4 linked regions of the Caenorhabditis elegans genome follow. The protein of the gene in region 4 interacts with the protein of the main gene of each other region in a pairwise test. Each region holds a gene or a part of one and is shown on either strand. Other genes may lie near its edges.

Evidence for each region.
Region 1: the proteins of T04D3.1 (region 4) and meg-4 interact in a two-hybrid assay, tested with the Caenorhabditis elegans proteins (one large-scale study listed by BioGRID).
Region 2: the proteins of T04D3.1 (region 4) and gad-1 interact in a two-hybrid assay, tested with the Caenorhabditis elegans proteins (one large-scale study listed by BioGRID).
Region 3: the proteins of T04D3.1 (region 4) and rrc-1 interact in a two-hybrid assay, tested with the Caenorhabditis elegans proteins (one large-scale study listed by BioGRID).

The regions. Positions count from the first base shown.
Region 1 is NC_003284.9:1,679,719-1,688,265, reverse strand, and holds meg-4 (J domain-containing protein), read right to left. Parts: upstream 5,313-8,547; 5' UTR 5,311-5,312; coding exon 5,253-5,310; intron 5,207-5,252; coding exon 3,736-5,206; intron 3,688-3,735; coding exon 3,604-3,687; intron 3,556-3,603; coding exon 3,409-3,555; intron 3,361-3,408; coding exon 3,226-3,360; intron 2,711-3,225; coding exon 2,433-2,710; intron 2,384-2,432; coding exon 2,058-2,383; 3' UTR 1,847-2,057; downstream 1-1,846. Other genes in the region: C36C9.11 (Transposase), read right to left, coding at 209-245, 584-636, 688-726.
Region 2 is NC_003283.11:6,429,905-6,437,004, forward strand, and holds gad-1 (Gastrulation defective protein 1), read right to left. Parts: upstream 3,593-7,100; 5' UTR 3,584-3,592; coding exon 3,391-3,583; intron 3,344-3,390; coding exon 2,598-3,343; intron 2,550-2,597; coding exon 2,371-2,549; intron 2,327-2,370; coding exon 2,007-2,326; intron 1,960-2,006; coding exon 1,535-1,959; 3' UTR 1,416-1,534; downstream 1-1,415. Other genes in the region: alh-4 (Aldehyde dehydrogenase), read right to left, coding at 1-8; erfa-1 (Eukaryotic peptide chain release factor subunit 1), read left to right, coding at 4,256-4,365, 4,412-4,737, 4,784-5,517, 5,566-5,727; hpo-19 (NADH-cytochrome b5 reductase), read left to right, coding at 6,743-6,856, 6,913-7,074.
Region 3 is NC_003284.9:9,826,378-9,833,959, forward strand, and holds the start of rrc-1 (GTPase-activating protein rrc-1), read right to left. Parts: upstream 4,912-7,582; 5' UTR 4,834-4,911; coding exon 4,763-4,833; intron 3,927-4,762; exon of another isoform or gene 3,778-3,926; coding exon of another isoform or gene 3,758-3,777; intron 3,375-3,757; exon of another isoform or gene 3,290-3,374; intron 2,859-3,289; coding exon 2,709-2,858; intron 2,474-2,708; coding exon 2,344-2,473; intron 2,295-2,343; coding exon 2,211-2,294; intron 1,412-2,210; coding exon 1,289-1,411; intron 1,237-1,288; coding exon 1,108-1,236; intron 628-1,107; coding exon 335-627; intron 292-334; coding exon 1-291. Other genes in the region: ipla-2 (Intracellular phospholipase A2), read right to left, coding at 7,406-7,567. UniProt on the Caenorhabditis elegans protein: Functions as a GTPase-activating protein (GAP) for ced-10/rac-1 and CDC42.
Region 4 is NC_003279.8:13,301,059-13,307,819, forward strand, and holds T04D3.1 (NTF2 domain-containing protein), read right to left. Parts: upstream 3,254-6,761; 5' UTR 3,235-3,253; coding exon 1,974-3,234; intron 1,914-1,973; coding exon 1,810-1,913; 3' UTR 1,701-1,809; downstream 1-1,700. Other genes in the region: sdz-30 (SKN-1 Dependent Zygotic transcript), read left to right, coding at 5,993-6,761.

The sequences.
Region 1 (8,547 bases), on a different chromosome or scaffold from region 4:
GAGAATCGGGATTTGAAACATGAAACAAGAAATTCAGAAAGTGGAAAGTAAAGGAATAGTTGAAAAATGGGAACATTGAATAAAGGGGGGAGGGGAAATATAATAAAGGATATGAAAAATGAAACAGTTATATAAACAATTATCAGTCAAATGCCATTCCGTCGAAATTATCATAAATGTTCATGTCCTTGTTGACTTCGCAAAAGTCTCAGAATGATTCGAGGTCGCAGACAATTTTATTCACTCTGAAAATATAGTATTATTATGACATAGGCTCCTACTTGGAAATGATCCAAGAAGGCTACTGGCGCAATTCTCGTGAGCTTTTTTAATGGTATTTTGGAGTCGGTTTAATGCTTGTAGTTTTTAATTAGCTAACGATTGTTCAAAATTGAAATGTTTCAGTTTTGGGCTAATCTTAAGCGTTTATCTGCTTGATATCTTTTAATTAGACCGAAGTTTCAAAATTTTTAATATTTTTTGGCAGTTTGGTATTTTTATAGGACGCTACTATGTATCTAATGTATACATTATTCCATAACCTTATTCCATGTTATTATAGATTTTCGAGAAAAGCACTTACAATGTGGGATTTGCATTAAAGATATTTTTCTCCTCGACTTGCCGATTCTTACTCTGAAATTAATTTCTGAAGGTTTTCGAAACTTTTTTGATACAAAAACTCACCAATTTACCATCTTGAGTCAGAAGATTTTTTGTAGACATTCGGGGTGCGGATAGCAGAAATTAAATTTCTGAAAGTAATGAAAATTAGCTTCTTGAAACTAATATAACTTTAAAACTCACCACACATACAATACATAAATTTTTTTAATTTGTTTTAATCCAGAAAAAAATGGTGGTGCCAGCCACACAAGCCGCCGCAGGAAGACCAAATGATACCTCCGGGAAAAAATTTTGATAAGAAAGTAGAGGAGCAGAGAAACAAAAACAATGAAAAAGTGTGTAGCGGACTGCAATAAAATTTTATATTAATGTAGAGTGACACACAAAAAGAAAAAGATGCTAAACAGTTTTCCTTCGAACTTTAAAAATATTTTAGTTTAAAAAAAATTTGAAAAAAAATCAAGTGTTTTTGATGGTTCTGGTGTTTCATTTAAATGAAACTATACTGTTTTATTTCATCAGGCTTAGGCTTAGGCCTATGCGTAGGCCTATGATTTGGCTTAGGCCTTGGCGTAGGCTTAGGCTTCGGATGTAAGCGATATTCTAGAAAATTTTGACTATGATAATTTGTCATTTTGGGATCATAGGAGTAGTTTTTAACAATTTCCCCTTTGGTTTTTTTGGATTTGGTCTGGCATGCTGCCACTGAAATGAAATTTCACAGGAAACACTGGATATCTAAGGCCAGCACTTAACATTGTTTTCATTCTTGAAAGCTGAAATCGCTAGTCAAATAGCCATCCAAGGAAAACACAACAAGTTTAAGGCGGGAAATGGCGCAAGTGGACGTTCAAAGAGAAGACCTTCAAATGAAGTTAGGCAGGCAAGTAGGCATGCCTATCAATAAAAATGTAGAGGGTAGTATCTAGTAGTATTAAGAAAACTTAACATTCCTATCCTTATAATCAGTAATTGCCAATTTGGATTGTTAATAACTTTTTATATTTCAGAGTCAACTACTAGAATTCTATTTATACGCGCCTATACCAATTTCCTCTACTGTGTTTTTCAGTACAAACGGAACCTTCGCTATCGTAGCGGATAAGTCTGAAGCATCGCTTTTGAAATTGAATCCGTGACCACTTTTTTGCCTAACTTTTACAAAAAGCCAAAGAAGAGACATATTTCTACTAATCAGTTGCCAATTATATACCTATTTCAAACATTCGCTTTATTGAAATTCAACTTTGAATTTTGAATGAGCAGCAGTCCTGATAACAATAGAAAACTACCCGTTACAAGTTCCTGGGCAGACCATAAATAAATTCACAAGAAGGAGCAAGTTGGAGTATAAAAAGAGTGGTTAAAAGGTCAATGAACAAGAATAAAATACAAAATACTCGACATGAAATAGATATATATCAGTACAATCATTGATCTCTGGGTGGGTCAAAAATAGATTCCAGCCATTCTCGTTTTGCATTCAAGTATCTGACAGGATCCGATTTCCGAAGATATACAAGGAGACACGCATCAGCAATTGAGATGATATTCTTCTGTCCGATACACTCCTTCCACAACATGTAGAGCATATTGGTGGAATCTGTGGAGCTGCTCGTATCGTCAAGCCGAGCCTGAACGAACTCGAGAGCAATATCTTTCTGAACTGCAAGGTCATTTGGATTTCCTAAGCAGGCTTCAGCAAACCGGAGAAACCATCTTCTGAATATATTTCGCACAGGTGGAACCCTTGGATCTGAAAAAATTTACGTTTTTCAAGATTAAATATGTCTTATCTTTCTTACCATCGGCATAAGGACCATCCAATCTTGGAATTGTCTCGGTGCAAAAATAATTCAAGTACAGCCATCTTTCAGGTGACATCCCGTGAATATTCAAATTCACTTTCAAGAGTTGTGTCTTCTCTTTGTAGTGAGCATCAATATAATCATTGAAGTCTTGTTGAGCTTCCAGGAATGCCGTCAAGCTATCAGAAATACGAGGTGGTGGTGAAGTTGGAGGTGCATCTTGAGAAGAATCTTCGGTCGGGTTGGCTGACTTGCAAGGGAGTGGGGCAGGCTGACTGAAAAAAAAATTAATTGTACTTGGAAAGTATGTTACAGAAATCGAATCAAGCTGTGCGGCAAAAATTTATATATTCTGAGGAAATTAAATTTATTAGCGGGCTCGCAATTCACCGTTTAGTAATTATAATATCAAGTGATTAGACTGGGCTCCAGGGATGTGTGGAAAATCTCAAAAGTTGCCGAGCACTACTAAATTTTTGGCGACAAAATCCATAGCTTTGATCAAAATTGTCTGAGCTCGGCAAACGGCAAATTAGGCTAATTCGGCAAAGTTGTTTCGGCAAAACCGTACAAATTTGCCGCACACCTTCTGGGCAATAGACAAAAGCAGAGGGCTTTTTGCGGAGTTGTGCAAGATTAATGCTCTATTTTTTTACTCGAGAGGTCTAGTCTTGACCTCAATCTACTCAACTTGCACATTATTTTCCATATGTTTGATCCACGATTTTTTGAGAATTCAGAAATTTATATAATACGAAACTCATTGCGAATTTATTGATTTGGGCCTTACCTGGTGGCTTCAGAGGACCATCTCCCGGCTTGGTTGTTCACTTCAGCCATACGATTATCACAATTGATTCCACTTCTTTTCGGAGTTGGGCAACCATTACAATCTATGGAAACTGGATTTCCGGTACAATGAGAGCTGGAAAAGAACATTTAAAAATGTTGTTTGTTCTTTGTAGTTCCATACCTTTTCAGTCCATCAAGCCCTGGAGTCAACTTTCGAGCGATTCGGTTTCCTGAAGTTGCTTCCTTCCCAGAAACCGTGGCGGAGTACATTGGTGACTTTGTGAGTTTCGAATCAATCATGCCAAGTGACTTGTCAATCTTTGAAGACCTGCAATACAAACATAATGAAAAAAGCAGCTCCAAGTGTAAAACTAACTTGTTGGATGCTGTCAGACATTTTTCTCCGATCAAAGCCTTCGGGCTTGTGATGATTGACAAGGAAGGTGTTCTCTGATCCTTGCTGAAATTCAAACTTTTACTAAATACTTCACTTTTTATCACTACATACCTTGAGAAAGCACGTTTTGTAGATTTCGGCTTCCCAGGGTCCCCATGAAGTAAACGTCTCATTTCCTCAACGTTGGCATCAAAAGTTCCTGTCCACTTTCTTCTTGAGATCTTTGGAGGAGAACTCGGATGTGGACTTGGTGTGGGTTCGACATCTTCTTCTACAGTCTCCAGCGTCACGTCAAGACTGGCGAGACGGGACGCACTACGAGAACTTCCACGACGATGTTTCTGCACTGAAGTTTTCTTCGAAAGATTTTCTGGCAGGGTTCGATTGTTTACATCCAGAAAACTGGAGTCGAAGTCTTCACCAATTGAGCAATTTAGATCACTTCTAGCTGGTAATGTCCGATTCAAATTGCTGCATTCTCCGTGAGAACTGGAAGCTGAGTGCAAGTGTTGTCCGATCTTCATGCTGACAATTTCCAGTAACTGTTCCACAGAAAGTTCGGTGCCGTCCTTGCTGAACACATTGGATTTCAGATTACGTTGAGCAGCTCCTCTGGAAGAGTTCAGTTTCTCCGCCACTTGACTGCCAGCATCCTTCGTTCCGCGAGACTGTTGTTGAGATTTGTTAGTGACAGATTTTGGACCGTTTGCAACACCATTGGAATCTTCTATGAACACGTCGTCAGACAGTTCATTGTCATCTGTGTTGTAGAAAGCACGATCCTGGACATTAGTGCTCCCATGTGATCTTCTTCTATCGTTTCTTGATCCTTCTTGATGATGCTTCCTTGTTAAAGCTTCATTAATAGTAAATCCGGAAAAGCTCTGGTTCAAATTCCGCGGCTTGAAGACATCATGCTGTTGGCCAAAACTAGAATTGATCGAATTGATAAGCTCATTTCCAAACATGCCTCCATATCTCTTGTCCTTGTGATCTCCAGGAGCTTGAACTCCAGCTTGAGCGTTGAAGCTTTTATTTCCATGAAGTTGTTGGTAAGCCTTGGTTTCTTGTTTCTGGAACCCAGCTGGAACGGAACTCCCACTGAATGACACATTCCCAGCATGGCCATGATTGTTCGATCCATCCGAGAAGCTTCGGCCAAGTTGTCCATTCGGACGGCTTCTACTGTGCCCTGTATTTGACTGCTGAGTGTTGTACTGATAAGTGGAAACTGACAAGTTCCGTTGATTCCAGCTGGAGTTATTGCGTGTCTGCGAGTTTTGACGGAAGTCTGCAGAGAACACGGGGGCCGTTGGAGGAATGCTCGATGAGTTGAAGACGTTTCTGTTAGCTCGAGCTGCATTCATCGATTGATTAATCGAGTGATTCAACTGGTCGCCGTTCATGGAAGGATTCCCGTTAAAAGACACGGATCCGTGGTGAGATCTGCCACCATATCCACGGCTTGTTGACTGAACACCGTCTTGCTTTACGAACGAATAAAACAATTCTTCAATACTAATGTGGTGTCCCATATTTTTCGATGCACTTTCCAAATTGCTTCGACTATGAGAGCGGTGACCTGAAATTACAAATTGAAGAAAAAAATTGATTTAAAAAATGCTTACCTTCTCTGTTTCCTCTGGAGTTTGGCAGATCACATGAGGAAAGCTTTGAAGAACTCATACCTGCAACAAAAAAAACTTAATGAAATATTACAAAATGTAAAAATGTAAAAATGTAAAGAAAATAATGAGGGAGAGAGGAATTAATGAAAACCGGTGGGACCAAAAAGCAAGAATGGAGACCTGTGAGTGAGTGAGTGCGAGAAGTGAGAGAGTGAGAGAGGTAGAGAAAGAGAGCGCGAAATAGTGTGTGGGGAAACGGTCAGGGGAATGCATGCGCGCGGCAAAAACACAGTTAAAATGCGGCAGGGGTATTACCAAAACAACACAAAACGTTTGTATGGTACCGGCTGTTTTTCAAGAGTATTGGAGGTTTGAGGAACAGTTGAGTAAAAAGTCGGATATTGATAGTTAATTCTCTGGAATATTGGTGACCGGAAAGATAATCACTGAATAAAACACGAGAAGAAGAAAAATAAGGAAAAATCTTTGGTTCCGTGTACTTGTTAGTTTAAAGGTGGAGTAGCGTTTGTGGGTTTTTTGTACCTTAATGACAAAATAGAGTTTCAATGTAAATATCGAATAAAACTGTAAAAAAATTCCGAACATTTTCTTTGAAATTTTATGATTTTTTTCAATTTTGCAAAAAAAAAGGGCCGAATTATTTTTCAATTCCAGCGCAAATTATTGACCTGATCTTTGACATTTTTCTTAATATTTTCTTTGATTTAAAACTTAAAACTTTAATTTTTCACAGTTTCATACATTTTTCAGTAATGTTTCAGTAAAGTAAGTTAAAATTAATACTGAATTATCGATTTTTAGACTAATTTCAGCGTTTCCAAGTGAGCAGCCAATTTTCTTTACGGAAAAATGTCTGAAAATGTGGCAAGTAAAATTTCAAATTATGACACAAAGAAAAAATGAAGAAAACTCAAACAGTTTGCCACGTGGGATCAAATGAAAATCTTGAGGACTGTGGTCGATAACTTCTGCCAATTAATTTTCTAGACTGTCTCATGTTTCAATACCAAAATGAAATCATTAAATACTGCCAGGTTGCCCCACGTGGCAAAATTTTTTTTTTTTTTTTTTTTTGGTTTTTTTCTACAGGTCTTGCCTGGATAAATGCCGTATGTAAGCTGTAAGACAGTGGAACGAACACTGAATTCCCATTTAAGGCTGGAAGGACCTAGGAGGTGGGGGTCGAACTTGTGACCTTGTGATTGCAAGCAGCGCGCATAGGCACTGAGCCATGCACCCCCCGGAAGCATGAGTCACTAATAGGGGTGGCTATAGGTCGACCTAGGTCGACCTGCGACCTAGAGGGTTAGGTCGCATCGCGACCTAGGTCGCATTGCGACCTGCGACCTAGCGACCTGGGTCGCTTTGCGACCTGCGACCTAGCGACCTGGGTCGCTTTGCGACCTGCGACCTAGCGACCTAGGTCGCATCGCGACCTGAATTACCGACATTTTGTTCTCTTTCGGTTTTGATTCACTTGAGTTGTTAAAATCCGTATAACTCGAAAACTAAAGATTGCAGAATATGTATGATATATTCCACTAACATTTTCTCTATTAAGATTTTATAAGTTTATGCGTAGTTTTTTTTCAAAAGTACGGAACAAAGAATTCATTTCTACAAATAAAACCATGCATTTCAGCAAATTTTTTCAAAAAGTTCACGTTTTTGTGGTTTTTGTTGTTTCTAAAATTTCATTTTCCACTTTTCGAATTAAAAACGTAGAAAAAAGCAGCAAATCCGGCGGATGTCGGCTGTTCTAACTTTTTTCGACAAGGTGTCTTATGGATGAGAAATCGAAAACAATGTAAAATAAATGATTTGTAGCAATTTGTTAGTATAAAAATTGTCGGTAATTCAGGTCGCAATGCAGTTTTCGAGTTATACGGATTTTAACAACTCAAGTGAATCAAAACCGAAAGAGAACAAAATGTCGGTAATTCAGGTCGCAATGCGACCTAGGTCGCTAGGTCGCAGGTCGCAATGCGACCCAGGTCGCTAGGTCGCAGGTCGCAATGCAACCCAGATCGCTAGGTCGCAGGTCGCTAGGTCGCAGGTCGCAATGCGACCTAAATGAAAACAGCGACCTAGCGACCTAGGTCGCACTCTTGCCACCCCTAGTCACTAATGAATTATATGAAATCGATCGCCGGAGAAGCTGCAAGCAGCATACAAAGGATCTTTTTTATTTTTTATTTTCAATTGATCTCTCTAGAGTGGCTTTTCTTATAAAATATTGAGACTTTTCCAAAGTCTCTATATGCGTTGTAACCAAAATTCCCAAACTGCCAAGCAAGTATTTATAATGAGTTCAAATTCGAAATGGGGAAATTGTTTTAAAACACGCCTATGTTACCACAATGACCGAATATCATGATAAAAAATTTTCTAGATTTCATATGATTTTTTGAAAATTGCAAAAATCTCAGTTTTCCTCTAATTCCTATTCGAATTTCCGCCGAATGAATTCGTTCGCTGGAGCGCACTTGCATTATTTTTATTAATTTATTTTATTTTTTCTCATTATTACACTGATTTTCTTCATTCTTTGTGTATTTTTATCGGAAAACAAGAGAGAAGATAAATGCAAATTATTTATTTAAAAATAACTGAGAATGGGTGAAACTGTGAAATAAGCTAATTTCAGGCTTGCTATCGTCGGAACTCATAATTTTACAGTTTTACCCATTTTCAGTGATTTTTAAATAAATAATTTGCATTTATCTTGAATTTTTCTCTCTTTTTCCGATAAAAATACACAAAGAATGAAGAAAATCAGTGAAATAATGAGAAACAATATAATAAATTAATAAAAATAATGCAAGTGTGCTCCAGCGAACGAATTCAATTGGCGGAAATTCAAATAGGAATTAGGGGAAAACTGAGATTTTTGCAATTTTCAAAAAAATCATATAAAATCTAGAAAATTTTTTTGAATTTTTTATCATGATACGTAAATATACAACACTTATTGCTCACTTTTTTGTTTTAATTTTTTGTTTTTCATTCAATGGTATCTCATTCTTGCTTCTCATTTACAATGTTTTCACCGAGAACGTAAAATAACAGTTAAGTAACCATTGAAATCCGAGTGGAATTTGAACTTAAAACAAACAAAAAAAAAAATTGAATAGGAGTGTGCGGCTGACTGATTTTTTCGGCTTTCAGCTGGTACAGCGAGCTCTGCTAAAATTTTTACTATCCTATAAATTTTCTATCAGACGAAAATTTGTCGGTCGGCTGTCGGTTGGCTTTACCAGCAATTCCAATTTAT
Region 2 (7,100 bases), on a different chromosome or scaffold from region 4:
AATGCCATTTCTGAAAAATCAGCAATGAAATTGAAGGAAAATTAAATTTATAGCGAGCGTTTTCAGAATGGTCAACGTGACCTTCAAGGGTCAGCCTGGGGTTATATACTGCCTAGTTATCATTATCAAACGCAGTTGCCTAAATAAATTTTCTGGTAGATGATGTATGTTTCATGAAGGACAGAGAAGGCGGAGGGGGGCAAGTCAACGAAAAAAAAACGATATTCGGAGACGAGAAGGAAGCGGTCAGAATAATGATGATCACATGACGACAGTCGCGCAAACAAGTAACCAATCATATAGAGAAATGCCAAAATATTTTAATCGCCGTTAGCAAAATATTTCGTGAAATTGAAGTCTAGAAAACTGATGAAATCTAAGTTTCAGTTATCAACTGCCGAAATTTGGAATGATGATTTGTTGGAAACGTTTTTGTCTATAACAATTTAGATGTATACAACTCATTGAAACATTAAAATACGTTCAGTATAAGAATTTACGCAAATCTAAAAACAATAGACATTTTACAAAGTTAGTTAGGTTTGAATGATGTCACTATTTCTATTTAATTGGGAGGGTGGAGATTGTTTTCGGGTATAGTGTGAGATCTAGGCGCAGTTCAATTCAGTGATCAACTTGTGGTCAAGTATGTAGATGAAACTTCATACGACTTGACTCATTTTATAGATTGATCTCAAGTCTAATCTCGAAAAAATGTTAGATTTATGTTTTCAACCGTAACCTATCATTATTTTAACAGACAGAAAGTTCGACCAAAAAGAAGATAATTATCGATATAACCGTCGAGAACTTGGATGTTTCTCGGGAGGGAAAGGGAAACTTCAAGGACGAAATTTCACGGCGTTGTTTTGTTTGCTACTAGCTACAATTTCTCGGCACTGAAACAGGAAGAAAATGTGAAAAGGAAATTGTAGAGTAAACAGTTGTGGAACTGTAATTTCGGATTGCATGTTTGTTCTACACACTTCAGCAAAAAGTGACCCTTTGAATAGGCTGCACATGGTATCAGTTGTGGGAAAATGTATGATAAGAAAGAAATGGAATGGAGGCCATGTCAATAATTTCTTCTTTAAATATAGTTTTCTCAATTTTTGGAATTAAATCCATAATAGAAACGTTTTTAAAAATACAGTTTCAGGTTTTTGGATTAGGAGATCAAAAGCGAAACATCCGAACCGGGTTCAATTTTAAAAGTGAACCTGATCCCGATTGGATACAATTCTTGCGGCAAAAGTGTAGCCATCGTCCACCGGACACTGACACAAACGACCACATATTGTTGAAATGGGGGGGAGTTGGAAGAATGGGAAAGATAGAAGTGAGCAGCATGCTAGAGTGTAGCTAGCGTTAGATATTTGGACAAGACAATGACTATGGCGAACACACAATTTCTCCAACATCATGTGATCATTGACTCTATATTTATTGGGACACAAAAAATAGAGAAAAAAATAGGAAAACAATATTACAAGAGGGAGACAGACAGATGAAAAACAAAAAATTAATGCAACGACTACTTCGTTCTCGGCATTTTGAAGACAGGCTGTAGCTCTTCGTCATCTTGATCTTCTGGCTCGACTGCAGTTTCTTGGAAAATCTTCTTTGGCTGTGTCTTTCGATACGCTTTATCAATGTACAATGGATTCTCTTCGGCGTCTTTAGCATGTTTCAGGATGCTTGCACGAACATCGGTATCTTTTAGGAACTCGGCATTACGAGCAGTTCCGATTTGCTTTGCCAAATACGAATGAAGACTTCCACCACTTGCAGCCACACGTCCATTTGCGCTCTTTCCGTTGATAGGCATATCTGCAGGCTTCCGGAACTCGGGACGAAGCTTGTTATCCTGCATTCGGAGATACTTCTTGATTCTCCATCCAGTGACTTCCTTTTCTTCTCCTTCCTCTCCGCGCGGTTGGAACATTTCGAGGGAAAGAGCTGAAATATGAAGATAAATATTTTTCGAAAAAAATTGTTTAACTTACGAGAAAGAACCATATCTTCTCGAACAACTTCAGATGCGCGATTTCTTTTGAGTGGCTTCGTCACACATGACATAACTCCTCGCTGTGACATCGTTTGATCGTAGTACACGTGAATGGTGCCATCCGAGAGTCCAGCGATAATTTGATTCAATCGCGGGTGCCACTGAATTCGGTGGCACGAAATTCCAGGGTAATCAATTTTATAGACAAGATCAAATGTCATTGGATCAAAGAATTGTAATGTTCCAGGTGTATCCTTGTTGGGTGACGATGTACCAGTGAAGACAACCTCGGCACGAGGGGAGAATCCGCAATCAGTACTACAAAAAATATACTTATGGTGAAGTTTTTAATAGAAGGATACCTTTTGAAAGCGTTTTCGAGACCGGTTTTCACAAGAAGCGGCTCTTTTGGGTTATCTAAGCTCCACATCTTCAGAGTGTCATCAAAACCTCTAGACAGTAATCTCTTTGAATCGGGCGAAAAAGCAATAGAAGTAATCGAGCCGTTGTGAGCTTTGCGTACAAGGTAATTTACATTGACCTAAAATTAAAATATGAGAATAAACAGTGTTTTTGAACTTCAACTTACATATTGCGATCCATACTTCCATGCTTGAACAGATCCGTCATCACAACCGGCGGCAATCCATTTTCCGTCAGGAGAAAACGTGCAAACTTGCGGGCTGACACGTTTTCCATTAGCTCCTTTTGTTTTGATGACTTTCCTGTGCTTGTTGATGCATTTGGTGATTACTTTATGATCATCGAGGTTCCATAGTCGTAGACTTCCATCATCAGAACAAGAGATAAACTCGTTCTTGTTTAGTGGATTGAATTCGACACAGTTAACTGTTGCTGTGTGTCCTTTAGTGATGTTTAAATCAATAATATACTGATCTCCACGAACTGTTTCAGACCATTGTTTTCCTGCTCGATCCAGTAGGCGAATGATAGCTTCTCCACTAGCTACTACAAGAGTTTCGCCGTTCGGAGAGAATGCCAGGGAATTGATAACGTGACTTTCTGCAGGCAGAAGCTCTTTGTCGTATCTCATTGACATGTCCATTTTTTGAAAATCGAACAGCTTCACGTAATAGTCAAGCCCTCCACTGGCAAACCGAACACCAGGAGGCTCAACCCGAAGTGCACTGATGGCTTGAGTGCCATGGCTGATCTTCGCTTCACATGCAGCTGGAATCAGTTTGATGATGGAGATTGCTTCTGTCTCGTCAAAATCGCTATCATCACTATCTTCGGGACCTTCAGCTCGAGACGAGGAGGGGCCCGCTTCAGACTGTTGCATTTGGAATCCTGGAGGTAGATCTGGCATGAAATCTGGAAAAAACAAATTTGAAATAATTAAAACATTATATTCGGCTTACCATCTTCATCATCAGATACAGCTGAAGAAGAAACACCAGATTCTGATTTAGAAGACACCGATACCGACTGCGGAACGTGAGTTGGTTCCTCAGTTCTGGGAGCATTGCTTATCGTTTGCGCGAACATTGCTTGGAGGTCAAAGACGCGTGCCTTCTTTTCAGAATTCTTTTTTGGAGCCGTATTATCATCCATTGTGGTGATCTGAAAGAATTATTGAAATTCGTTTTCATCTATTAGGCGGTAACGGGAAAAAAAGAGTTAATAACGAAAAGAAACGTGTAATACAACCAATATAATGAACTGCCGTGGTACATATATAATATTTTGGCGAAAAAAACTAATAAATTCTGGAAACAGTCCTGGAGTTCTGATGAAAGCTGAAAAATGTTTTCGAATTTCGAACATTGAGGACGTGGCTGACTTGTTTCGGAGACTAGGCCGCGGAGAAAGTGTGGACAATCGGACATTACTTCGCGCCGAGACCCTTCCACAAACCGTATTCGTGTTCCTTGGCACCATTTAAATTCTTTTCCCATTTTCAGTTTTTAAAGTTTTTACGCGTCATCAATTATCGATTTTTGCAGTTTAAATTGTTCAGAAATGTTTTATTCATCATTTTGTCATTGCTCAGAGAAAACGAAATACATTTTCTTCTAAAAAAATCAAATTGAAACCATTGCAACATGTTGCACAATATTCTAATTTTCCATCACAACTCTGTGCAATGTAGAATAACCAGTTCTCTATAAATATCTTTTTTTTCGCATTTTTGAGTTTCTTCCCCGAATTAATTACTTTAACTCTCTTTTCGTGTTTTATATAATACAATTACAGGTAATCGGTGACGTGCAGCACAAATAGAATATGAGCGCTCCCGCAGCAGGTGCTACCGCCGGAGGCGATGACGCCGCCGATAGAAATGTCGAAATGTGGAAAATTAAACGGCTCATCAAAAGTTTGGAATTAGCCAGAGGGTAACTATTTTCGTGAAGCGTTTATTTTACATTTGTTTTTTTACAGAAATGGAACTTCTATGATTTCGCTGATCATTCCACCAAAAGATCAAGTGGCTAGAATCCAGAGAATGTTGGCCGAAGAGTACGGAACGGCATCTAACATCAAGTCTCGTGTCAACAGACTTTCCGTTTTGGGAGCTATCACATCAGTACAGGGAAGATTGAAACTCTACAACAAAGTCCCACCAAATGGATTGGTCGTTTACTGTGGAACAATCATGACCGACGAAGGAAAGGAAAAGAAAGTTAACATTGATTTTGAGCCATTCAAAGCAATCAATACTTCATTGTATCTCTGCGACAACAAATTTCACACCGAAGCTCTTCAAGGTATTTCTAATTTTCATCATGCATCATAAAATATACCATTTTTCAGGTCTTCTTGCTGACGATAACAAGTTCGGATTTATCATTATGGATGGAAACGGTTGTCTGTTCGGAACACTCCAAGGAAACACTCGTGAAGTTCTGCACAAGTTCACTGTCGATCTTCCAAAGAAGCACGGTAGAGGAGGTCAATCTGCTGTCCGTTTTGCTCGTCTCCGTAATGAGAAGCGGCACAATTACGTCCGTAAAGTAGCTGAAAATTCGGTGGAACAATTTATCAAGAACGACAAGGTTACAGTTGCTGGACTTATTCTTGCTGGTAGTGCAGATTTCAAGACAGAGTTGGGACAATCTGATATGTTTGATCAAAGACTTCAAGCCAAGATGATCAAGACTGTCGATATTGCTTATGGTGGTGAAAATGGTTTCAACCAAGCTATTGAACTTGCTGCCGATACGCTGGCAAGTGTTAAGTTCATTCAGGAAAAGAAACTGATTGGTGGATATTTCGATGAAATCAGCCAAGACACTGGAAAATACGTTTTCGGAGTTAAAGACACTCTTGCCGCACTTGAAATGGGAGCTATTGAAACTCTCATCTGCTGGGAGAATTTGGATATTGTTCGGTACAAGATGAAAAATTCACTCGGAGAGGACATTCTTCTGAATCTGAGACCTGACGAGGAGAAGGACAAATCTCATTTCACCGACAGTGAAACTGGACAAGATATGGAAATTATTGAGACTATGCCACTTTTGGAATGGTTTGCTAATAACTACAAGGTGGGCGCTCGCTTTATCGAAATTTAATTTTTTATTAATGTTTTGTAGAACTTCGGAGCAGCTTTGGAAATCGTCACAGATAAGTCGCAAGAAGGAGCCCAGTTTGTTCGAGGATTCGGAGGTATCGGAGGATTGCTCCGTTATCGCGTTGACTTGGCTCATGTAGACCTTGAAGACGAGCTCGACAACATTGACCTTGATGACTATTGATCACGGGCGGCAGTAGTGAGCCATTGGGCGCCATACTCGTTTCTTTTGTTATTTAAGCTTGTATCCTCTTTTTTCTTTATCAATCTCTTCATAAATTATCCAGCATTGTCAAATTATAATATTTCCCTTTCTCAATCATCATCATCATTAATTGCTATATCCCATACCACACTTTATTCTAAGTTTCTATTCCATTTCATCGAGTTTGCGCCCCGTGTCCCTCACTACTGTCGTTTCGTTTGGTCTGTTGATGCTTTTAGCTCAGCTGGCAAGGCATCTCACGTCTGCCAGCATACTGAAAAAGAAACGTTCCACGCCCGGAACGAAGATGCTATTGGCGGCTTGTTCAACCGGACAAAGGTGAGCTGATTTATCATGATTCTTTTAAAAATATCTAATATTGATCGTGATATTTTTTGTTGTTGTTGTTAAATTAACTAGGTTTTCACGCTACAACTAAAGTTGTAGTCGTAAACTTTATTTGAAACAAGTTTTTTTTTCAGGTAGAGGCACGGGCGACACACTCACACTCGATGACTTCAACCCTTTCGCTTCCTTCGGTGGATGTTTCTACTCGCAATTCCAATGACTTTTAATTGTCAAATTTATGGGTTTTTCTAGGTTTTCTAAAGTTTGTTTTGGAAATACCTAGAATTAAACCATTATTTTATTTTTCTTAATTCAAATTAGTATGTGGTTGAATCAATTTTGTATTATCGGTGACTGTAACTGATAAATATGTTGGTTAAAAATAAAGCATTTATAAAATAACAATTATTTGTAAAAGTTGTAACGGTTCAATTTTCCTTATACATCAGAATTGTGACTTTGTGGTAAAGTACAGTTTTCCGAATAGAATGGCGAGAGATTTTCTTATCAGGTATTGATTGATAACGCAAGAAAAACGTGAAAATGAGAAAGAACTACTGGGAGAGTGGGCGCATCGAAACGGTCGCCTTTTTTTTAAATTGAAATTATTCAACTGCAATTTGTTAATAAATTCATCTATTCAGAAATGGTGGAGAATAACACTCTCATAATCACAGGAGGAGTGGTCGTAGTTTCGAGTATTGCTATCTACATTTATTTGAAAGCAACAAATACATGCCCCTTCTCACTTTGTAAAAAGGTAAATTTGATTTTTTTTTGTTTTTCGCGGTTATTTTAATAATTTTTTTTGTTCAGAGCAAGAAACGAACTCTTGTCGATGATTCTGTCAAGTATCCACTTCCGTTGATTGAAAAGTTCGAGATCAGTCATGACACGAGAAAATTCCGATTCGGATTACCATCGAAGGATCATATTCTTGGGCTTCCAATCGGCCAACACGTTTACCTCACCGCAAATGTGAACTTTCCAGATCCTTCATTCAT
Region 3 (7,582 bases), on a different chromosome or scaffold from region 4:
ATGTCAGTGAGTGATTTTGATTTACAGAGCCTAGTTAGATGCTCCATTAAAAATTTAGCTGTTCTGTAGTGAGCCTCCGGCATTGTCTCCAATGAGAATCTCAATGACTCTACTTTTTCAGATAAACTGTCCTCTTTTTCAAATGCTTCAATGAGTTTCGGGTATGCTTGATAAGTGAATAATGGATTGGGAAGTTGGCGGAAGTATTGTTTGAGTAATGAAGAGACGGAATAAATGTCTCTTTGACCAAACTCGTGGAGATCTGGTTCAGCACCACTATCGAACTTTGCTCTTCAATAAAAGTATGTTTGTAGATACTTTTTTAAAAAATTACCTCAGTCTCTGAATATTCGATTGAATTCCACACTGCCTATAAATACCCGTGACAATTCCTTGATCTTCAATAGAAGCGCAGCATTTCTCCACAATTACCGGTACTTTTTTGCCAGTTCTCATATATAGATCTGTGAGCTCAAGCCCAAAAATAGGTTCTCGTCGTCGGTTACGGAACATTGTGGTCATGTATCTTCTTGCATTTCTTGTCGATGCTTTTTGCTCGTTGTTCAATGGATTAGGAAGGCGTTTGTCATCAATGAGCATCACGCAGTCGCGTGGAAAATAACCGATCTGGAATTATTTTGTCAGTTAAGCAGAACTAATGGGTAATATGAATAGTCTGAATTTGTGAAAAAGATATATTTGTTGCCGGAATTGGAAACTTTCAAAAAATTAACTAATGCATGTATATGATATACATCACATTTGAGTAGCAGTCTCAATTACTCACTCGTTCTTTGTTAATTACAATTTTGTTTATTAAAAAATCTAATGACAATTTAAATATCAGATAGTAAATATATTTAAAACATAAGGTACTTCTGGAAGATCAATTTAGACTGAAGCAGAAGGCATTGAACGCTTGAAAAAAGTAAAAATATATTTATGTCTTGTGCTTTTTAAATCAGAATGGGCTCTTAGAAAAGATGTTGAACAAAAATCTTCGTATAATTACTTAGCATTAACCAAAACTTTTGCAATTTTAAGTTCAGAAGAGCCAAAGGCACGTTGATACAACATTTCCAATTAATAATAATTAAATAGACTTACTTCAAAACCTAGCCGTGCATTTTGCGGATCTACAATCTTCTGGTTGGATATAGTCAGTTTTGCTTTCCAAAATGTTTGCTCGCTGGGACTTGCTGTTGACATTTCCGTAATTGAGACGATATCACCGACCTGCAATGTTTTTGTTTACACTTGTAGTCGCCGGGCCAAATTTGAAAGATACCCGCAGTCGCAGCTGTGAGCTTTCGGTCGGCTCAAAATCCTTTGTGACTACTGCAGCTGCGATGGCTGGCACGTTGATCGAAGTTTCTTCAGCTGGTTCAAAATGTCCGCCACGAGAGTCAATCTGTGTTTTCAGAGATTATGCGCGTAAGAGAAATAATGAAAGGATTGTCGAAATTTAGTACAACTATAATTCCTATTAAATAAAATAGCTATATCAATCGAAATAACTCAGAAAGTTTAGTGAATTAGAAAGAATTGGAGTAGTTCATTCTGGAATGTTTGTCTATGTAATAAAAAGCGTGTAAATACTTATTTATAAAAACGATTATTCCGCAGGTTTGAAAAATAACGCATGAACGTTTTCAATTTCAACTGAAAACGTTTTGGGCTACATTTAGAAGATCGTAATTTTTTGTTAAGTGATAGTTTGAGAGAACAGTTTCAGAACTGACTGAAACAAATGCAAAAAGAATGAAAAAAAAACTTGTTTGACGAAGTCCTGATACTAATGCATAATGTAGGTGTGCATTACATTGTACATATGTTTTGCAATAAAAACAAACACAGAAATGAAATATGCACTGCAGTTAAGAGCGAGTGGTGTCAAAATCATAAGAAGAACAAGATATTTTTTCAAGGTTGTACTAGAACTCACCAATTTTGTGAGAAAGGTTCAAATAATTGAATAACTCTTTGAAATACAGACTTACTATTCTGTCAGAAAGGAAAACAAATTTTCCTATCTGAAATGTTTGCAATACTTGAAATGAAATATTTATCGTCTTGGGTTCATTTGGTTTATTCGAATCTTTTTTAATTTAACTTTTCTAATTTGAAGAGATACTGTAAAAAGTCTAAACCATAGCCAGTTTTAAATTTAAATTAAATTGAAGTTTGGAGTTAAAAACAATTTCGCTTACTTCTAAAAATTTCAGAACAGGATAGCACGTTATAATGCTGCCAGTGAGTTCCGATAATCGCTCCGTATACTTGACAAGAACTTCCTGTAAACATCAAATGTGATGACTAGTGATTTTGAAAAGAAGCCGTCACCTCGAACTTTGCCGTTTCCAGATGAATAAGAGGAAACAGCTCGTCAAGTCGTGAATGCCTTCGTTCGAACACACAACGATGCAGCTGTCTGTCGAAGACTGCCCAATCCTCCCGAGAACGTTCGACAAGCCTGAATGAATCAATGATGGAAAACCTTTCAAGTTTCCGTTTTTCTTTCTTTTTTCTTTTTTGTTCTTCCTCGTACTAACTTTATTCAGCCTTTATTCTCATCTCCCATGAGACTTCACTCGTGGCTTTTTTGTTTGATTTCTGTGTGGCAGAACATTGAAAGAAAAACCGAGAGAAACACCACGGAGCACGAATTTTTGAAGACAAATTGGAAACAGAAGGAATGACCAACTCACCATGAATTTGATTCACTTTCCACACGCATTTTTATCCGCTCTGTTGCATTCTCGTCAGCGTTTATTGCGATGATGGCAACACGGACGGGACCCAATTCAACAGACGAATAATGGAAGTGTTGACAGTCGACTAGTCGTTGAATGCGAAGACTGAAACACAATAAATTGTTGATATTCAACGAAATAAACAGTGAAGTAGTATATGAATTATTTCCAGCTAGCAAAATTTGCTTCTTTCAAAAATTTTTCAACTCACAAAGTTGATACTAAAACATTAATATTCCAATTAAAATGTTTGTGGTGAAGAAATGTAAAGATATTTTCTTGAAAGAACGCCGCAACATATCTACCAACCTTATCAGCTTTAGGAATGCATTTAGTGAAAAACTGGCTAAAGTTGGGTAAAATAAATTAAAGTTGGGGATGCGCTGAAAACTTTGCACTGAAAATGTTTCTATAGTGGCCTAAACTTGGTTAAAAAGGGCTGAAGTAGTTACAATTATTTAATGTACAGTTCGAATTATTTTTCTTTTAATGGTTATTCTTTGGTAAAACTTGATTTAATAGTAAAAAAAGGATATTGCCCCGGGCGGGATTCGAACCCGCGACTGGTTTAACCCAATGAGATCATAAGTCTCACGCCTTCGACCGCTCGGCCACCGGGGCACTGATTCTGAAAAATGTGCATCTCGTTGAAAACTGCTTGAATTGCTAAAATTGGTGGATAATTTGATGCGAATTGCCGAACGCCTGCCATTCTTGTTGTAACGGTAAAAAAAATAAATTTTTGATATCAATATTTTTCAAAAACTCACAGTACTCGATGTTGCACTGTAACCAATAGTAAATTTTTTATGTACAACAATACACTTCATTATTTTTCCAATTTTATTGCACTGTTTTATCTGGGCAACCGATAAACACAAAAACCACCTTTTTCTAAATTCACCTAACTAAATTTTTTGCAAATAAATGGATATAATGAGGGAGACCGTAAGTGAATTTTTTGATTTATAAACATTCTACTACAAATTCAACATATTTTGTACCCTGGTATTTCTGGATCCATCTTTGCAAGTAGTCAGTGAATAGATAAAGTCCAAAATAAAGTCATTCAATCAATTACATGAAATATTGAGATGGAATAGATAGGAGCCGAGAGGTCTCTCCTCAAGGTTCTGTTGGTGAGTGTGTAATCCCACGCTCACTACATCGTACGCTAGCTGCACTCGCCGGTCGTGGCGGTAGACAAGCGGATAAGCGATGAAACATTCAATTTTGATTGGGATGAAAGGGGAGAAAGAGATGGACCAGAGAGTGATTGCAGAAAAATCAAATTGCAAAATGTGGGCCACTGGTTAGATTTATGGAAGGACATTTATCAAAAGGTTGTTGGAAGCAATTCAATGTTTCGAAACGTTTTTAGTAAAACTGGAGAATTTTAGACCTTTCACATAGTTATTTTTCAAGAACAAAAATACAAGACAGGTCTGTATTGCAACTCTTAGAATTGCTTCAAGACGTCTTGGTAAAAATATTTATTTTAAGCAGATTGTAGAATCAGTTGTAGCACGAAGAAAAAACAAACCAAACTGTTACTCTTCTTTTAACAATTTCTTATGCATATGATGTGAATTGTTGTTTTTACAGTAAAATTGAAGTTGTCTACATAAAATTAAATTTATGTTTCAAATATACTTTGAAAAAAAGTTCCACAACAGAAGGGAAATTACGTTACACGATGGCCCACAATTATAGGCCACCCTGCATCATTAACACGGTGCTTAAAAAATTATTATACTTTTTTTGAAAGCTTTTGAAACAAGTTGGATGAATCTAAATGTCGGGTTTCGCCCGTTTTTCTCTTAATTCTTTTCCGATTAGCTCAAATGGTTAATTCCAGACCTCAAATCTTTATTCAAAATATCTTTTGCGCAAGCAAAGATAAGTATTTTGAAAACGAAATGTTAAATTTGAGTGCATTAGGATTCTGGCAAACCTAAATCATTAAATTTTTTAAAGTTTGAAAATCTAAAAAATTTCGAAAAATCTACCTTCTTCCGTTTCTGCGTGCAAATGGGCTTTTGGGAGATAAAGGTGCAAATGATTCCTCGATGCCTTCCATTTTTTACATCACTTTAAATGAATACGTTGCTTTTCAAATGTTTTTACCAGTTTTTGTTGTCCTCGTTATCCTTCCTGAAAATGGCAACCGGAAGTCATGAGAATAAAAGGTAAACGTGTGGTGTTTGAGGAAAAATACATGTTATAAACACACGCTTTGCTTATAGATCGGTTCGATTATTTACATGCAAACATCATGTCAATTTGTGTTGGCAAATGAGAAGTGACGGCTTTTAGTTAGGAAAGCGGGACGAAAAGGGGGCAATCAGGAAAATCAGTTAAATTGTCGTGTGACTGAAGGAGTAAATATGGGTTCTGTTTGGAAGTTGTCAAAAATTGAGCAATGACATAGGAAGGCAGGCGTTGTTAGGAGCCAACAACCAAGAATCTTCAGACATGTGTTAAAAAATCATGTGGCCAGAAACATCTTGTTCGAGAGTTTTAGGATAAAACTGAAGATTATGATTAAGATTTTAGATATATATGTACCTCGTTTCGTGATATTTGAAGATAAACGTTGTGAGGAAGTGAGTTTCTGATGTTGTAACTTTTAAGTGGAAACTCTATTTTTGAAATTAAAAAAAGAAGGTTTTGAAGCCATACACTCAAATTTAATATGGTTCCAGAGCAAAATTTATCTGGATTATTAGAAATTTATCATAAAATTTAAAAAGGGTCGTATAATTCTACACAAAAAACCAAAACTAAAAATAAAATAAAGCAATTTATATTTTATATTATATTCTTTATGCTTCTAAACTTTTGATTAAATATACACAAATTTCACATAATTTTCTCGGAAAATGTGTTGTTTTTTAGAACACATACAATTAACGTTTATCACTCGACTGGGTAGAACAAAAAACGCAAAAAGAAAAAAAGCTCAGGTTGGTTCCAAAAATTCATCAACACTTGTGACACCTAGCAAAAAAGATAACCAAGCTCTTCAGGGGCAGCAGCCAACACGGATCCGTGCCGGGTTTCCGGTTTTCTAACGCAGTGGACAGCTGCTGTTGTTAAGGAGGAGAGAAAGTACAAGCCATTTGAAACCAAATTCTAGGCACAACAGGTGTCAGGATTTTCATGGATGGTTAAGGATGAGAAAGAACTGGTTGAACGATTGATGCTAATCAGTATGATTTTGAGTCAAAAATGATAAAACGAAGGGTTATTAGTGTGTTATATTTCCGGACGCTTCATCTTCTTCATCTTCAAAGTTTCGGTCTAAAGATAAAGAAGATAGCAACGGGTCCCGAGTTTCTCTCTTCGTCTCATCAACCAATCTCCGTCGTCTTGTCTCTACGTATCACAATTCTGGCGAAGCACACACACACACATACGTTCTTCTTTTTCTACCCCTATGCTCTTTAGCTGCTGCTCTTCTGTGGAGCACTCGATACAAATCTACCACCTGACACTATCACCGCATTGGGTGAGACGGGCTTGCTGGTTCAAATGTTCTTGCAGACAAAAATGACCGTCATATGCTCTAGCTTCTTTTTTTTCAACTACTCTTTGGTAATTTAAGAAATATGGATACCTAAAGTTGATCTGACAATTAAAATGTATTTGTGCAAAAGGGAAAACAAATTGTTAGTAATATTATGAGCTGTAACTTGTAAATAACCTTACTAGAACATATTATATAGTGCCAGAACAATTGTAGAAAGAATTACCGTGTTTCCTGAATCAATCTTGCTTGTAAGACAAATTTTGGATTGACCCGTAGAGGTGAAAGACTAATAAAGACTGCAACACTATTAGAGGCTGCAAAACTAATAGAAAAAATACGGAACTCATTTTTTGACAAAAAATACAACAAAGTTCGAAAAATGTGTTATGACAAAAAAGTTACCAACATACCAAATGTTAAGTATTTGTGAAGTCTGGGTTGAAAAAAAAGCTCAAAAAAGCAAAAGTTTGGCATGTATATACAATAGACAACTGGGACTTTTCAGGTAGTAATTATAAGAAACCACAAATCATCAAATTTTTTGTAGGAAATTCCAAGAAAAATTCAGGTTTCATCAAATTGAAAATGAAAATTGAATGACCTTATTTCAACATCTAGCTTTCAACACTTGATGTTATCGTCTTACACGTCTTCGCAAGTGACACTTTTTCTTGAGACAATCGTCGTTTGATCCCAATTATTTATTAAAGCCCAATTCATTCAACTCATAGATATAAATGCATGAAAAAATATTGAAAAGTGAATTATCATACTGGTAGACTTTGATTCAGAGAGTAGAAAGAAGAGAGAACCAACTGATGACAGTCACAAATTGACACAACAAAATAGGGTAGCGCGAGTTTGAGCGAAAAGGAGAGCGGTTTGGCGTTTAAAGCAATAAAACAAATCTAAAATTTTGATAAAAGTGCCGGTATTCCATAGGAAGATCAACAGGGAAATCAGAGTAAAACTGGGGTAGGAGATTATGAGGGGAAAAATGATAACACATATCAGCTAATCAATTTTGCAAAGTACATTATTATACACAACTGAAATATACAATTTGTACACACAAATGCTGGAGGTCTATCAAATCTGTTTATGACATGAAATCTAATAATTAGAGATCTGTGAATGGTGTTTTGACGTGCGGGTGGTCGGTGTCGTGCTTGAGCACTTTTACAAGCTCATCAATATAATCGCGATGCTTTCGACAGTAGATGAATGAATCCCACATCATTGTGCATACATCCAAATCGCTAGTTGAAGAAAGAAATATATTCTGAAATAAAAATGT
Region 4 (6,761 bases):
AGAATTTAGGTAAGGCTACTGCTAGGGCTGAAAATTAAATAAAATGAATCGAAAATATGAATCTCGTAAATCCACAAGTGCGGTACGGTTTTTATGGGCGATGCCTTTTCTGACGAAAATTTCGGCGTTAAATAGGATTTTGGGATTTTAATAAATTAATATAAAATCACGGAAATTTTTTATATTTTTTTCACATCGATATTTGGTATCAGGGGCATAAATAGCGTCTTTAGTCCTCCTTTGTGTTAAAATCAAGTTTTGAATAAAACCATCAAAGTACAACTGATATTTTTTGTCCAATTTTTGGTAAAACCACAAGTAACTACAAGATACACTTTTAGAAAAGGGAACTACGGACATATCAATTTCAAGAATACATCATATTTGAAAAAGGCAAAAAGGAAACAAATACTGTAGTTCATAGCCGAGAACAAAAAAATGGAAACAGGAGCTCTAGAGACTGACTAGAGAAAAGAAAAACGACCTACTAGAGGCGATGCAGGCAGACTGAATGATGTCTTCTGCTCTTCAAGACAACTCAGAGCATCTGGAGCAAACGCTGCAACCAATTTAAATCGATACTCAGCTCTTGGGATACCAGATTCGGGAAAGAGGTGGGAATTGGCAGATGTTTTTATCGACTGATGTAAGATTGAGACGACTACCAGGAGAAGATCTACAAACGAATGTAGTATATTGATGGTTTTTAACAAAATTTCTGGGAACTGATTTTACAGATATGGTAAATCTCAACATGTTACGGCTGCTGATCTAATAGAAAGAATTATCGGCAATCTGAACAGAAAAGTATCCAAGATATGGGCGGAGCATGAACTGAATATGGCACCGCCCATATCTTGGCTACATGTACTTCTCACATTTCTTCATAAATTTCTCCTATACTCCCATTATTAAGACAAAGCAAGGTCAGCTTAAATTCCCAGACACTGAGCAAGGACGCGATCCACCTGAGAGTAATTCGACCAGGGGTGGACGGCAAATGATTTTTTGCCGGAATTTGCAAATTGGCGGAAATGAAAATTTCCGGCAAATCGGCAAATTGCCGGAATTGAAAAGTTCCGGCAAATCAGCAAACCGGCAAATTGACGCTTTGCCAAATTTGCCAGAAAAACGGGCAAATTGTGGTTTTGCACATTTTTTTTGGAAATTTCAGAATTTCGATTTCACTCAGCAGACTTTTACGCATCCTATGAATGTTCCTACATCTATTTTTAAAAATAAGCAAACTCTATGAATATATCTAAAGAAAACGGAATAAAATTTCAAAAAGGCACAGTTTTAAGTGCTTCTGTCATATAAAAAGCCCCTCTAAACACTTCCGGCAATTGGCAAACCGGCAAACCTCCGGAATTGAAAACTTCCGGCAAATCGGTAAACCGGCAAATTGCCGGAATTCAAAACTTCCGGCAAATCGGCATCTTGCCGCTTTGCCGAGTTTGTCGACAAAAAAATTTGCCGAACGGCAATTGCCGCCCACCCTTGAATTGGACTACAAATGTGGACAGAAGATTCATAGAATCAGAGAAAATTACATCCATTTGCCGGATTTCTTTTGGAAACGTGCCCCATTTTAATTTGCCTCAAAGAGAACCTGGCAATCCCATTCTAAAAGACTATGACGTCAAGCAAGATTTTCAGCAATGATTTTTTTCCCGCCGTTTCTAAAGGCACACAAATTTACAGTTGTCTTTTATTTATGGAACATCGGGAAGAAAAATGAGACCGCAAGACAAAATAAAATAAAAAAATATGCAATTTAACAAAAAAAACTAATTTTAATCCAAATCCTCAAATCTGTTCCAATTCCTTCTGAACATATGGTGGCAACGATCCGCCGTAGAGAGTTGTCAGGCTTTCCACGAATTTTTGTTTGAGAATTGACATGCCATCGTCTGAAATGAGTATATTTTTAGAAAAATGAATAATAGTATGGATTAAGTGTTAAGGGTTACCTGGGGCATCCTCCGGAATATCTGGAGAAGTTGAGCAAGATGGGCCATCAGAAAACGGATCATCACAAAGACGGATCTTCTCGACCAAGACATCCAACTCTTGAGATTCTTTGGATGCCTTCTTCTTGGACTTCTTGATCTTTTTGGCCTTCTTCTTCTTGTCCATCTTCTGCTTCTTCTCCATAAACTGAGTATCAAAACTCTTGATCACCGAATTGGGAACCTCCACGAAATGTTTTTTGATCGAGCAATATACCTCCTTCTTCAGTCTTCCTTGTGCACCCCTCATGATCACTGTTGTCCCTTTGAGAACGAAGAAGATGCTCGAAGTCGGATCCTGATCCTTCGATGAGTCATACTTCAGCTCTGGCTGATTCACTTCAACAAATCCCTGAATCTTCGAGTCGAAGACATATTGCTCCATGCGATCTGTGAAGGAGTTGAAGACGTGAATCACATAAGCCTGAATCTCTTCGCAAAACTCTGCATACTTGGGGAGAAGATCCACTTCTCTGGTTGTATCCGGACACTTCTCACAGTCGAGGATCTCGAATTGACTGGTGCTCTGATTGTATATGTACTTTTCATAATGACCACGGCTGGTGATAATGTAGAGAACGTACATCTGAAAGTCTTGGCAGAATGTGGTTTTAAATGCTGGAAGTGTTTCATTGTAGTCAAGATGTTCAGAACTGAGGGAGTCGTTGTCAGACCATGGATCCGCGTCATCAAATTCTTCGGCGGCCAAGAGTTGAACCTCAACTTTTGGCATTTCCACGCACTTCCCAAGTCTGTACTCCAACTTCCGAACTGCTTCGTTTCCTCCACGCTCGATCAGAACTTTCTTTCCATCAGAGTTCTCAATCATCACAATAAAACTTGATTCCGTGAATTTTTCAGCCGAGTAAACCAACTCCGGATAGTCGACCTGCTGGAAGCCACCAGTCTCGAACGAGTAGACATACTGCTCCACCTCTTGCGTAACCTCATTTCTCATAAAAATCACACTTCCCGAGGCATACATCGGTGACAGGTGATCTTCGAGGATCTTCACTGCACAACTGGAGCATCTGTGTGGAATGAACTTCCTGATTTTTAGGTCGAAGATGAACACATTGTAGGTTCCATTTTGACGGGGTCCACCAATGATGGGAATCTCCATGATCGGGCAGAGTTTCATGAGGATCCGTGGAGTTGTTGGAGGAGACATTGGAACTTGGCGCTGAGTTGGAACAGCACATGGATATGCAATGAATGACATGACAAGTAGAGATGATGATCTGGAATTTTGGAATTATAAGGATTTCAAAAAAAAAAGAAAAAGAACGTCAGAACTGGCAATGAAAAGAAAAATTTATATATTATTTCAAAGTAAAGTTTGTTGGGTGCACTAGAGGACAGTAAGTAAGTGAAAACCCAGCTCAAGATTAGCAGAATTTCAGATTCCCAGGCGACAATTGTTTTAGTTTTGAACAGTTTTTTATATATTTCTCGTCCAGAAAATTAAGAACTTGCGCAGGAATTCCAATTTCAACCGACTTTAAAGATCCGTTCTCTAACAGTTTAAAACGAAACTTTCAAGTATTTTTTCTTGAAACAGTAAGTTCTTAAAAAAGTGAAAAAAATTAAACTTAAATATTCTAGAAAAACGCTTTCGAGGAACTTCTAGAACTAGCATAATTTTCAGAATGATAAGTTGCGCGCGCAAGGTCACATAGATTTGACTACCCCGTTCCCACATCAGCCAACGGATTAAAAATCAGTAGATCAAAGTTTTACGAGTGTTCTTTTGACATTTTTTGGCACCTAAAAATTAGGTCAATTTATTAGCCTAGCGGAATGGAGTACCGAAACAGTCTAAAGGCGCAGGATTACTTTTGAAAAAAAAAAGATTAATTGCAGAACCATTTTTGAAGTGAAAACTACAAATTGGAATAATTTAATAAAAATGGCTCTTATAGAGGAGAAAAGGGAAAATTCATAAACTTACAATTCGAAAAAAAAGAATTGGATAAAATAAAGAAAATGAAAATGAGAGAACAGGAAGAAGAGACCGACAGTCTACTGCATAATGACCTTTTGAGCAAGGCCCGCGAACATTTACGACCACCGTCTGCCCGTCTGCGTCGTGCATCTCTCGTACAGGCTATCCGTGTTTTGTTGTAGATCGACTGGGAGAGACAGTGTTTGTGTATGCTATAAATCTGTAAAGAAACATCTCTGACCAAACGAAGGATTATAGAAAAAAACAAACCTAGAAAAAAACAAACCTAGAAACCTTCTCAGGACAGTCCTTGTGTAGGAGGACTGCCTCTTATGGGGACTTTGATGTGATGTGCTCCAAGTGATAACATTATTAAATTAAACCTGTGAGAATTCGATGAAAAATTTTCTTCTATGTTTGATATTTCATTTGCTTTGTTCAAAAAATTGAGATGAGACAAGTTTTATGCGTATTGTTTTAGTGCAGAAACAACATAACTTTTTAGCGTCTTGTTCTTGAGTTTCAGAAAAAAACCGGCAGAAGCAACTTCTACTCGACTTCAGCTACACAAAAGACGATTCAAGGAGGGTCAAAATGTTTGTTAATCATAGAACCTTCCAGGAGTCGACAGAAAAAACACGGGGAATGGTAACTAGCAACTGAATGAGCACGGAAAAATTATTATGTTATACCTACAATGCCTATAGTTAATTGGAAGTTTGAGCACAAATACTGCATTTTAAAATAGTTTTTCCCTTCTTTATTACGGAAATTTGTAAGACCATTATTTTATATGCAAATCCGTTAATATTTTCAAGCCTATGAAGCAGTCTTTAAGGTTTCAAATACCGTATTTCCTCTATTAGTATTGCACCCGACTACTTAACTTTGAAACGTTATATCTCGGTTCATTTTAAAGATATCAATATATTATTAGTTACAAAATTATAGAAAAAGAGCTAATAAATATTTTGTTAGTTGACAATTTTTGAATAAGGCAAACGATAACTGAGATATAAGCTTTCAAAGTTGATGTGAAATTTAACATTTTCTATTCCATTCTTTCCTTGTCAATAAATCCAAAATAATTGGAAAAAAACCTCATGAAACAGCAGCAAGATCCATTTTTTGACCAAAGTACCCTAGTTTCAGATCGATATACCACTGTAATGGTCAACAATCGATCGGAATGTCAATTGACAAACAGATGCGTACACCTAAACTCCGCCCAATTGTCGTAGTTGCTCTGTCAGATCGACAGTACACATTTCTTATTCATTCATTCATTCATTCATTGTACCAGCACACGAAGAGGTTGCTCTTTTCTGATTTTGTTTCATGTTTGTTGCCAGTTACCGTCTTGGTAATTTATGATTTTTTTTGTGATTTTTCAAAAAAGAAGTCGTTTTTAATTGTCTATCAAACCTTTTTGAACTCAAAACTCCTATCAAAATGCAAAGAAAATAACTTTTAGGGCAGAAAACCCTCTGAAAAACAGTACATCGTACATTGACAATACTTTTTGCTCACTTTGTTCCATCCTTCATAATCATGTTTAATTCACTATCCTCAAATTTTGCTGTAATTTTTTCTGCCAACTCTTGGGAAATTCCGTGAATTTCAAACATTCAGAGTCTCTTTATGTACACTATTATCGGAAATTGAAAAGTGAGCAAAAAGGGTTGTCGATTTGCTGGTCCCTCCAGGTCCATGAAATGTCTCAAAATTGCCACAAAACGGACAAATATCATGCCGATACTTTAAAAAGCCCGGAATTTTTCACAAAACGTTACAAAACGTATGTCTTTTGGGAAGTTCAAAACGTCTGAAATCGTTCAAAAAATGTAGAGTTTCTTGAATTTCACAATTAACATTCCTTCAATTTTCCTGCAAATTTCTTGCCCTCATGTCCACTGTGAGTGGTTGAAAAAATCAAAAATCCCTTAAAAAAGCATTCCTACAATCATTTTCCTTTTTTCCCTCATCTAATTCTGAAACTTCACACTTCATTTTCCAGAAACATCTCCAACAAGCCATGTACCCTCAATACCCAGCTCAACCAGCTCCAGGCGTCAGGCCCATCATGTGCCCAAGACCATTGCCCAAGTTTGCAATGGGAAATTGTCCCGTGACAAGAACGCGAACAATCGGTGTTCAACGATTTGGTCAATACTACATGTTCAACAAGCATCCGGCGTCACCCAAGCTGGTCCCACACAAGTGTCTTCAGTGTCAAGCGAGAGTCACCGAAGCGGATCTTTATCCTAAGTACTCGGTGGTCTGTAATAAGACCTCGACGCTCGTCATTTTTGTGCACAATGGGATCACGAACAAGATCGAGCAGTACGCCTATTCTCACTCGACTGGCGGGTTCGTGGAGGTCAGCTTTCCGGAACTCGTGTACAACCCGAGCCTCGTCACTCATGGTAACCTGGTCGTGGTTATTAAGGGATTAAAGAATGAGAATATTGTGATTGAGAGAGATCTTAGAGGTGGAATCAGAAAGCAATCCTCACATCTTGGACCATTCCAAGCGATTCCACCGGTTGTTGTACGTACTCTTATGATGCAGGAGATAGAGAAGGGTATAGATGTGACTGGAAACCCGGAAAACCCAGATTCTGCTGTAGAATCTGATTATGATTCCGAAGAGGACGATGAGGATGAAGATGATGAGGATGATCTCGACGTGGACGATCTCAACTACCTAGATTCTCTACCAACTTTCAAAGTTAGGATCTGCCAAGCTAGTCAGAAAGAGGTTGTATGTGTGATCAACAGTTGTAATGGAAACTACATCAAGT